2 linked regions of the Drosophila melanogaster genome follow. The protein of the gene in region 1 interacts with the protein of each later gene in a pairwise test. Each region holds a gene or a part of one and is shown on either strand. Other genes may lie near its edges. The genes, in order: Tbc1d22 and CG8230.

Region 1 (5,308 bases):
TGTGCGTACTTCATGGAGAAGAGCAACGGCAGCATGTGAAAGCAGATTAGCTGGTTTTCAAACGTAACGCGCTCTTGTTGGATGACAATTTCCTTGGGCGCACGAGGTCCAAGTTTTTTCCAAAGTACATGATTGAGCTCCGCCAACTTCACAAAACTCAAGCCGTCCTTGCGGGTAATAAGGAATTTCATGAGATTAAAGAATGCCAACCCGAACTCGGTGAACTCCTCCGACGGCTCGGTGGCGTTCGGATTCAGCAACTTTTCGTGCAACAGCAGGGCAAAGTTGTAGCTGCTCAGTGTGGTGAAGATCTTCTCAGTAAAGTACGGGTTGTGGGTCATATCGATCAGCTTCCAAACGGTAATCTCGAAGTCGTGATGCTCCTTGAGCAGGATGATCAGAGTGGTGCGCTCCTCGAGCACCAGCGTCTGCTGTAGTATGTAGGACAGTAGATCCAGTGTCGACGAGATCTTGTGCAACATCTCGTTGTCGTCCACCTTGACGTGGATGCGCTCCACGCCGTCGGTGTTCTTATAAAGATTGTCGTGAATCGGCTGCATAATCTCCGACAGAATCTCCAGGGTAACAGCCTTATCGTGCAGCTTGTCGCAGGACTTGTACACCATGTTGTAAAGCACTTGGCGGGCCTCCCGCACCACGTACAGCGTGTGATCGTTGTTGGAATACTGGATGAGCAGCGTCCAGATCCGGTGCATCCGCAGAAAGGCCAGCCCCATGCTATACACGGTGATGGCTTTCATCAGACGTATGCCACCTAACTTAATCGATGGGCTTAAGTTGTGTTCCCTCTGTAGTAGTTTCACTGCTCTAAAATGGTAGTCGATTATTTTAAGAGATTAGAGCCTGGTTTTCTATCCTACCATTTACCTGTTTACTATATCAAGCTCTCTTAGGCGCACGATCATCCACTCGTTGTTCGCCAGAAAACTGGTCAGATTCAGCATGAAGGATATCACCTTCGGGTGGATCTTTTTGAAGTCCTCGGTCACCGCCGTGATGCACCTGTCCACCCATTCCACCACGAATGGGGCCTGCAGCACAAAGGCATTCTCTGCGGACAGATGGGATTCATTTGAGGATTTAAGGGCAGATTGCGGGGCCACTCCGATTGGTAAACTCACCCTTGGCCTGCAAGTGCGTGAGGAGCTTCTCAAAGTAAACATTGTTCGTAGTGGAAAAGTTCTCGCGTAAAAATATGTCGAATATCGTTCGCAGGCGCGACAGCGTCTCTTCTTGCTTTTGCATCTTGCTGTTTCCACACTGACTGCTTAAATGGCGACTGCCCCTTATGGCATAGTTTTGGAGCTTGCAATTGATCCACCGAATAATGAAATCGTTGATTGCGGGTTCTGGTTCTTATCACACCGAAAGACACTTGTTTTGTATTGAGTGGCCGTGTACGTTTGCAGTCGAAATCCAAAGCGCATTCGCCAGGGTTGCCAGGTGAGCGGTCAAAGTCACGCATCGAAACATATAACGGTGCATAGTTTCCCTTTTATTCTTTGCTAATAAGTAATACCATTACTACCATTAATTAAAATTACCTAATTATACTACTTAATATTGCAGAAAGAAGAACTCTGTACAAAACATTTTCGTTATGTTTATACCTCAAAGATTACGGTCTTTATTAAATATTTTTTAATTACATACCTTTTTTCCATATTTCTAAAAGCTTTTGCATAGAAAAATGTCTTGAATTACGAGTTTTCATTTTTAATCATTTATATCTCTTGATCGACTCGTCGGAACTATACTAGGTTCACTCTTCTCCACAAGTAATGGGTATCAATATGGTTCGGTTTCGCACCAGTCACTTGATCACGATACGCTCTCATCACTACCAAGAAGTGTCGTGCGGTGAAAGCCGTAAATAGTTGCCATGGTCACACTGTTTTTGATGCAAAATAATATAATGACGCTGACATAGAATCGGCTCTAGGGAACGTATGATGGATAACAATGTAGAGCAATTAGCAGGAAAGAGCCAAACTGAAACAGCCGAGTCCACAGCAGCAGCAACAGGAACAGCAGGAGCAGGTGTAGCAGTAGTAACCGTGGCAAGTGGAGCCGGACCAACGCCCGGCGCAAACTCCTCGACCTTTTGGAAAAACAGCGGACGTCGAGTGCCCGGACGACCCAGTCCCAAGCGGGAGCTCGAGAAGGCGGCGGCAGTTGGGGTAGCGGTCGGTCGCGGCGCTGCCCCCGGATCTGGCATGGTGTCCACCTTCACCGAGTACCAGAAGTCGGTGAGCGATGCCTGGGACATGGGTGACGACGAGTTCTGCATCATCAGCAGCACGGAGGCGGCTGCCGCGGCCGTTGGAGCTGGCGGTGGGTTCCGCAACCCCGATGGTTTTCCTCAACCTCTGATCTCGTTTTGATCCCCCAACAGATGCGGCTCATTTCTCCCGGCAAGTGTCGCAGACGGTGGCTCTCAACGTGATCGAGACGCACTCTCGAAGCAACCAGAACCATAATGCATCCCGGTCAGCAAACGAAAGTGGCGCAGATTTGGTCCCAGTCAGCAGTAGCTCGACGGACGACTGCAAGGAAGACCGTAGATCTCTGCCGGACAGTAATGAAAACAGGTGAGCGGCGCCAACTCAACTGGGAAGTCAAAAAGAAAGTTGAACCCAATGCCTGCAGTTGTGCAAATAAGTCAGGGGTGTAGAGCGGATCGAACCCGCTTTCTGAATTATTTCCTAGGTGCTATTTAAAAAGCATTAACGTGTTTATTATCAAAGTAGAAACTAAAGATATGAAGAATTCCGTCATATGGGAGTTGAAATACTTACAATAGATTCAAATTTTGAAACGGTACTTTACAATATACAATATACAATATTACTATGTAATTAGGTTAAAATTACCTATATATGTTGTTAATCATTGGGGCGCTCCTAACTTATTATTGCCATTCGCCACGTTTTAACGAGTATTAACACCAACTTGGCAACCGCTCCTGAAGCATTTCACTTTCTTAACTGATAGCCACTCCCAGCTATTCCCACAGAGCAATGTCGGGAGACGCGGAACTAAGACCGAAAGTAATCAAGACTTCAACGGTTAGTAATATATATTGCCATTTCAGATCTAGATTGAGGAACTACCCGGGCAGACCGCAATTGCAGAAGATCAGCTCGAATTGCCAGGACAGCGAGTACGAGACGAAAATTGAAAAATTCCAAGTGGTGCTAGACTCGCCTCAACTGGACTTGGTGGCCCTCAAGAAGATCAGCTGGTCTGGCGTGCCTCGGAAGGTGAGAATCGAACAAATATTTCGTTGTGTAATTCTAATTAAACCGAACTCCAGATGCGCGCTGTCAGCTGGCGACTCCTTTCGAAGTATCTTCCGCCTTCAAGTGAGCGAAGGATGGCGGTGCTAGAGAGCAAGCGGCAGGGCTACCAGGACCTCAGGCACAACTACTTCCGGGTGGATAGCCAGGATGAGACGCAACAGGACACATACCGCCAGATCCACATCGATGTGCCACGAATGAACCCCCAGATTCCGCTCTTCCAGCAGCAGCTTGTCCAGGAGATGTTCGAGCGCATACTCTTTATCTGGGCCATTCGCCATCCTGCCTCCGGCTACGTGCAAGGCATCAACGACCTGGTCACGCCCTTCTTTATCGTCTTTCTACAGGAGGCCTTGACGCCGAATACGGATCTCGAAAAGTACGACATGTCCACGCTGCCCGAGGAGACTCGAAACATTATCGAGGCGGACTCGTTTTGGTGCTTATCTAAGTTTCTCGACTGCATTCAGGATAACTACATCTTTGCCCAGCTGGGCATACAGGAGAAGGTTAACCAACTCAAGGATCTGATACAGCGCATTGACGGTGAGTGGGAATGCTTTACCTTTGCCCGTAGATAGACGCCACATCAAGATTACCTTACAATAAAAGTGATCAAATATAGATAGAGATATGTTAATGCTCTTGTGATAAGATAAATTGGAAGGCAAGCACCATGCCCAATGCCTAAGCAAAGAAAAGCCTCATCAAAGTCAAGCCATTTTGATGTGCCCTGTCAAAGATACCAAGGATGCTTTAAATTTTACATATTTACACACGTTTTTCCAGAAGCCATATGGTGTAAGATAGCTCTTGGTCAATAGGCTATGACACGTATAAACATTTTTAAGATCGCAAATGTTCGGAACAAATAAAAATAATTACTAGATAAGCCAATTGGACATGCAACCTACAATTGCCGAGTGATGATAATAAATTGTAATTTGTGCTTTCAGTGAACTTACATCGTCATCTACAGGCACATGGCGTCGACTACTTGCAATTCTCATTTCGCTGGATGAACAATCTGCTGACACGCGAGCTGCCGCTGCACTGCACCATCCGATTGTGGGACACATATCTCGCAGAGTCTGACGGCTTTGCCCTGTTCCACTTGTACGTGTGCGCGGCATTCCTTCTGCACTGGAAGGAGCAGCTGATGCAACAAAACGATTTCCAGGTGAGTCTCCAGACGAAAAGATCTTCCCTTCCTGCAACGTCTACTAATCATTGCCATCTTGCTATGTGATAGGGCCTCATGTTGCTGCTACAAAATCTGCCAACACACAACTGGTCCGATCGACAAATCAACGTTCTGCTGGCCGAGGCATTCCGCCTGAAGTTCACGTATGCGGATGCGCCCAAGCATTTGGAGACGAAGAGTTGACAAAAGCAACACAAACAACGCATATACGTAACTTAGAAGTTAGTTTATTACGATTTGCGGAATATACCTACACAATACACGTACGCTACATACATCTAATAATTATATACAATTTGTTATTTAGACGTTCCTCTCCGTTTGTTTTCATTCTATGTCGTTTTCGTTTTGTATTTATCAACAATCCGTACGTAGGCAACCGCTAAAGTTCTGCGCTTTTTGTACATAAGAATCAAAAATTCAAAATACAATTTTACACGTTCAACGGGTCGAGCTGTTTCAATTGAAATTTGTCTTTTATAAAAACAAATCGAATCAAATGTAATGAGAACTAAATACTTTTTCCATGTGAAAATTCAAATTAGCCTAAACAATAAAGATGAAAAGCTATAGTTTATGATTACACGAATTCAACAAGGACTTAAAGCGACTAACTACAAGCCTGATATTTCTAATTCTGTCTATCGGCAATGTGCTTAAGCTGCTTGAGCACCGTCTCCAAAAGCTTCTTCTTGTCATTCTTTCGCACCAACGAGAAAATTGGCTTTTTGTCCGCCTCGCGGATCTTTTCCAGTATCACAATAATGGACTGCGGTTGCAC
Region 2 (5,494 bases), on another chromosome or scaffold:
AGCCGATGAAGCTGGTGGTGGGAAAAAAACGTAGCAGTAGTAATAAACAATAAACAAGGCAGCCAGCCCATCATCGTTGTTGTTGCAGCCGATAGTGCAAATATGCACAATGAAGTGCAAACAGCGAAGCCCGTATGCGTAGTGGAAATGATAAACGGGAGAAGAGGTGCTTAAGCATTGTTTACCCGGCGTATACGTAATAAAGGAAACTTCATTTGAAGCTTCCGTTTGGCGATATTTCTTTGGCGAAATATAATGAATACCCATTGGGATATGTGGATATTTAGCTTAAAATAAACTGACCAAATACGAACCCAATGAATCTTGAAGTAATATGACTAACCAATACTTCTCAACACTGAATTCTTTCCAAGAAGTGAACTTCGTTTTTAATGATAAATCCATTTCAAAAGACCAACTACTTTTTTCATAAAACACTGCCACGTTCCGATGACGAATTGCAAAGAAGATCTAATCACATTCTTGTTCTGATAAAAACCAACCCAAATAAATTTGGGCTTTCCGCAGATAACACTAAAGGCTGCCATAGACAGAAGAAAAAACACAAGAGCGTTAACTTTAGTTAATATATAGTTTATCGACGTTTTCAATTGCTAAATACAATACAATATATAATTACCATAGACTAAAATGTAAATATATTTTGCATATATTGTATATTCCGATTCTTTAATATGTATATATACTTTTTATTGGATTTGCTGCTTCCCATTGATTAGAACATCGATCTGTAGGCGTACGGAGCTTAACTTCCCTCTAAACATGCTCATTGCAGTCGGCTTGGCAAAATATGATCATGTTTCAAGGTTGCTATATTTTAACTTGAACAACAATTTCCGACCGGATTGCTTGTTAACATACACATTAGTATAAGCGTAGCTATGTCTATGTATTATCGTTAGTTCTCTCGTTTGCTTTGTCTCCTCTTGTCGTCAACGTTCGAGATGCGCATGCCTCTTATTTAGCGCAACATTTCTCTTGCTTTGTTTTGTTTTTGATACTGCATTTCGACATTTTGGGTTGGATCAAAAGGTAGGGCGTGGTATATGGCTTAAAGATCGGGTAATCCCGCACAGAAGACAAACGGAGAAGCATCGAAACATGGTGGAAACCAAAGCGGAGCCGGGTGTGTGCGTGAGAGGAAGGGATAGAGCAGTAAATATTAGCAGGCTATGTCCGTGGTCACGCTCTTGATGCTCTCCGAGCTGAAGTGCACGCAGCCGTACTTGCAGACCAACGTCCACACATATGGAATGAAGAACTCCTCGGGAGCGTCCTCCTCGACGTACTTAAACTTAAGATCCGGGAACTTCTGCAGGATAAACACAAAAAGAATAAGTGAGCCTGCGATTTGAGTGAGTAACTCATCGAGCGGATTACTTACTCTCAGTCGATCGCTGGACCACTGACTGGCACCTTTAGATATAACCTCGAGCACTTCATTGACCCCAAGCTCGCCTCTCTGCTCCTGGACACGCTGCAGACGCGAGGAGAAGAAACCGACAACCTGAAAACGAAGACAGCATGAGACACATCGCATAATCGGATCGGAACTAGTGCGCATACCATGTCTATGTTTTGGATGACATCCTGGAAGGCGTGGTGACTGCGGAAGCCCTCGAAGACGCTGCGCTTGTACAAAAGAGTGTACACCAAGTTGGGACAGTAGACCAACTGGTTTGTGAGGCAGGAGTTTAGGATTTCCAGCACCATGCGCAACACCTCCTCCAGCACGCTCAGATCTTGTAGCATGTCTTCCGGGGTCGTCGAGACGTTCACAAACACTGCGCTATCGGCCGGCTCCTTGAGCTGCGCATCCAGGCGCGTATGCTTCCGAGCGAGCGTTTCGAACAGCGAGACCAGTCGCTGTGCCACGTAAGGGTGTAGAGCGCGGAAGTGGCCGGACATGTTGGCCAGCGCCGCCAGGCAATTGGTGTGCAAGTACTTGTCGCGCATCTTCAGCATGTTGTACTGTATGGTGCGGATGACGATAAGGATTAGGATGCCGCCCAGCGATATCTCCGATATGGTGCGTTCCGTATACCATGTGATGTTTTTTAGCATCTACAGGGATGAGAAAGGATTAGTAATGCAACTATTAGCACGCACAGATGACCTACTATGGTGTGCACATTCTTGTTGAAGCCCTCGTCTTCACTCAGGATCAGCAGCACGATCAAGGACATGTAGATGTGATGTGAGTTGCTATCGGGGGCGTTGTACAGTGTCTGGAGGATGGGGATCACCAACTGCTCCAAGTCCTGTTGCTGCATGACGAACCGGTAGAAGCGCTCGTTGCGATGGAGCAGCAGATAGAGCAGCAGCGTGGCCTGGTCGATGGTAACGATGGTACACAATGTCTCATATACCGCCGAGAAGTCGATCTGGAAGGAGACAGCTCCCTGTTTTGGTGAATCCTTTGAATCGGCGCAACTGAAAAGGCTAGTCCGATAGGCGTTATCCTGTGCCGTGCAGTGGTTAGTCAGTATCAGGATCAGCAACAGGCTCTGGTTGGCCAGTGGGTAGTGGGTACGGAATCGCTGCGAGAGCTCTCCACCGCCGGCTGCTTGGCCCGCTTTCAGTATGTCTGGCTGCTTACGGAACGTGAAGATGGAAAGCAGCGACTCCGCGATGCCAAAGACAAAGGATCCAGCAGAGCTGGACCCAAACATGGTGTGCGGCACCTCCACAATACGCGCCACAAAATGCAGCAGTGCCGACATCAGCACGTTTGCGTGCTGACACTTGAAGACCGTCCGGAACACGATGGACTTGTCCGTGGGCTGTTGGGCAAACAGATGCACTGACAGCAGGGTGATCAGCATGTTAACGGCCTCTAGGTGCAGGTGGTAGGTGAACTCCTTGACGGGAATCACGACGATTAGGTTCACCAGGGCATCGATGAAGGTCTCAAACTTAGATCCGTCCACAATCACTGGAACCGCAGCCGCCGCCGACTGTTCGGTGGCCTCCATGGCAATGGTGGCGCTCTCCGCCGGCGTCTGTTGCTGCTGCTCCAATGCCGCTTGCAGCAGCTCTGCATTCGGCATAGCCTCAAAGTGCTGCAGCAGCTGGAACTCAGAGCCCGTCTCGTTGATGTACTTGACCAGGCTGCGGATGATGAAGAGCGCGTTGAAGGTCTGCCAGACGTGCATGTTGCTTTCCTGGTCCGACAGCGACAGCAGCTCGCTGGTCTTCTCCAGGAACACGGTCACCAGGGAGCCAAAGTTGCCCGTCTTCAGGTTATTGCCGATGAACGACTGGCACAGCGCCTCTAGCCGGCTGTCCAGGTTGAGCTGGTCCTGACTGAAACACACACCATTTCAAACCGCCCGAGATTAGCCCTGCTGACGTTGTTGCTCCACTCCTGTTCCACTCCACTCACCTGTTCTCCGGCAGCACAATGTTGTAGTTGAGCAGCCCGTTCCAGAAGGCCTCGTCATCGTGGGCGATGTGCTGGCGGCCCACGAAGCGCTGGAGCCACTGGTTGGACCCCAGGTCGGCCGTCCTGCTGACGTTGATGCCCATTCCGCAGTCGAAAGAGTGCTGTTGGCCGGCCAATGGTTATATTGGTGGCACGTCACTTGATCATTGAGCGGGGGGGTGAGGTGCTTACCCTTCCAGTGTGACCCTCGCTCAGCGCTGCGGAAATCCGTGCAGCTGTGGTGCCGCCGCTGCGCAATACTTTTGTCACATGTGGCGCAAAATTCAAATGCGGATTTTTGAAGCTGAAACTAAATTTTTTGAACCTTCGGATGTTGAAACACGTTTATGTGCTGTCCATATAAATGTCCTAAAAATGTAATTCAAGACATTAACGCCTCTACAATGAAATGCAATTGCTAAAGCAATTCTTCGGAAACTGTCCTTGGCACTTTATTATTTTAGAAGTGATAAAGAAATTAAAGAATTTTAGGCGAACCATATATTATATATTTTTAGATAATATGTTGGCTTATTAATATTAATATTATTAATAACCACAACATTATTTTTTGGGAATTAAAGTATTTATTTGCATAAACAAGAAAAAAGAAACTATTCAATAGATTGGGGATTTACAGCGAACTTACGGATGGTGGATAAGCTATTTTAACGTAAATATAACTTTTCAAGGGTATAGAGTATCTAGGCCTTGACAGCCGAAAGTTTATGTTATGCTGTTGATTCTTTTAAAGTACTTAGTTTTCACGCAAATCATCAACGAGTCACTAACCCGAGGAACAAATAATTATTTTTTATATTAGACTAGGAACTATAGGAAAATGTTAAAAATGTTTTATTCATAACCTCTAGGTGCTGGCTTAATATTCATATGTGCTTTAGCATGCATGTTTTAACGGAAACTAGAAATAAAAATCAATATTTTCGAATTGAATATAATGCATTTATTTGAATACGGAACTAGAACTAGTTTGTTTCTTGGATACTGACACAGCCTGCTCGGCGATCTGCAGTCCAACGAAGTCATTATTGTTTTATACCTCCCTACTTAGTCGTTTCTCTGGTTTGCAAATAACTTGTAAATAAATATACGTATATAATAGACTTGTTTACACATAAAATAAATATTACTAAAACGGGCAACAAAAGAGTATAGGAAAATTTGGGATTCCCGCAAGCTCAGCGAATCTTCTCCTCCATCGCTCCTTCGTTCAGTTTGTCTGCCGATGGGCTTTTTTCATACACGATTTATCACAAATTTATTCCTTTTAGTTGGCGACGCATGGTGTGCATGTGTAAACAAGAAAATATATCTATATATGCGCACAGATCCTCGCCTCCGATCAGTTAGTTTATCGAACAGAATATTACAAAACAAGCCTCCATGTCCGAGTTCCGCTTGGGTCTGTGGTGAGTGGGTGACTTAACTTAGGCAAATATACACGATGATGGCGGATGATGAAAATATCGAATGTGTGACCTCAGGACATGGCGCTCTGGCTCCTCATCGCCGCTTCAACCGTTGGCGTTGGCATCGCTCTAATCTTTCTGGCTATAGCTCCATTCTAGAGCTTGCGCAGGCCCTGGTGCTTCTGCTTCTTGGCCAGCAGTTGCTTAAGGCTGAACGAGGACAGCGCGATGCCGAAGAGCGCCAGCATGGTGGCAGAGCGGGTCACCACACGGTTGGGCGACGACGAGCTGGTGGTGAAGCCATGGCTGCAGTGCGTCGTGGCCTGTGTGGACAACGTCGGCGCCTGCGGGAGATAAGATAGGGAGACAAATTTAGTTTTTCGCTCGTTTTATATATATCAATCCAAACAAACAATAAACTTGGCCCACTGCCCGACGGCCCCCGCCCACACAGGCAACTACGCAGCAGAAACAATTTACGCCGGCAGTTGGCAACTAGGTTCAAGTGCCCCGGCCGTCCACACGAATGCGATTACCCCACATGGTCGCACGATTATTGAACTGATTGCAAAGGGTCGATGTAATGCCATATTATCGTGACTGACATCACTATCGCAAT

The links.
Region 2: the proteins of Tbc1d22 (region 1) and CG8230 interact in a two-hybrid assay, tested with the Drosophila melanogaster proteins (one large-scale study listed by BioGRID).

The regions. Positions count from the first base shown.
Region 1 is NT_033777.3:21,100,307-21,105,614, forward strand, and holds Tbc1d22 (TBC1 domain family member 22), read left to right. Parts: upstream 1-1,892; 5' UTR 1,893-1,970; coding exon 1,971-2,355; exon of another isoform or gene 2,356-2,416; coding exon 2,417-2,612; intron 2,613-3,115; coding exon 3,116-3,284; intron 3,285-3,337; coding exon 3,338-3,869; intron 3,870-4,279; coding exon 4,280-4,503; intron 4,504-4,575; coding exon 4,576-4,710; 3' UTR 4,711-4,807; downstream 4,808-5,308. Other genes in the region: CG7044 (uncharacterized protein), read right to left, coding at 1-828, 889-1,072, 1,143-1,266; Sec15 (secretory 15), read right to left, coding at 5,159-5,308.
Region 2 is NT_033778.4:8,943,723-8,949,216, forward strand, and holds CG8230 (uncharacterized protein), read right to left. Parts: upstream 3,623-5,494; 5' UTR 3,550-3,622; coding exon 3,407-3,549; intron 3,328-3,406; coding exon 2,142-3,327; intron 2,086-2,141; coding exon 1,588-2,085; intron 1,529-1,587; coding exon 1,406-1,528; intron 1,334-1,405; coding exon 1,184-1,333; 3' UTR 576-1,183; downstream 1-575. Other genes in the region: CG33199 (uncharacterized protein), read right to left, coding at 5,031-5,219.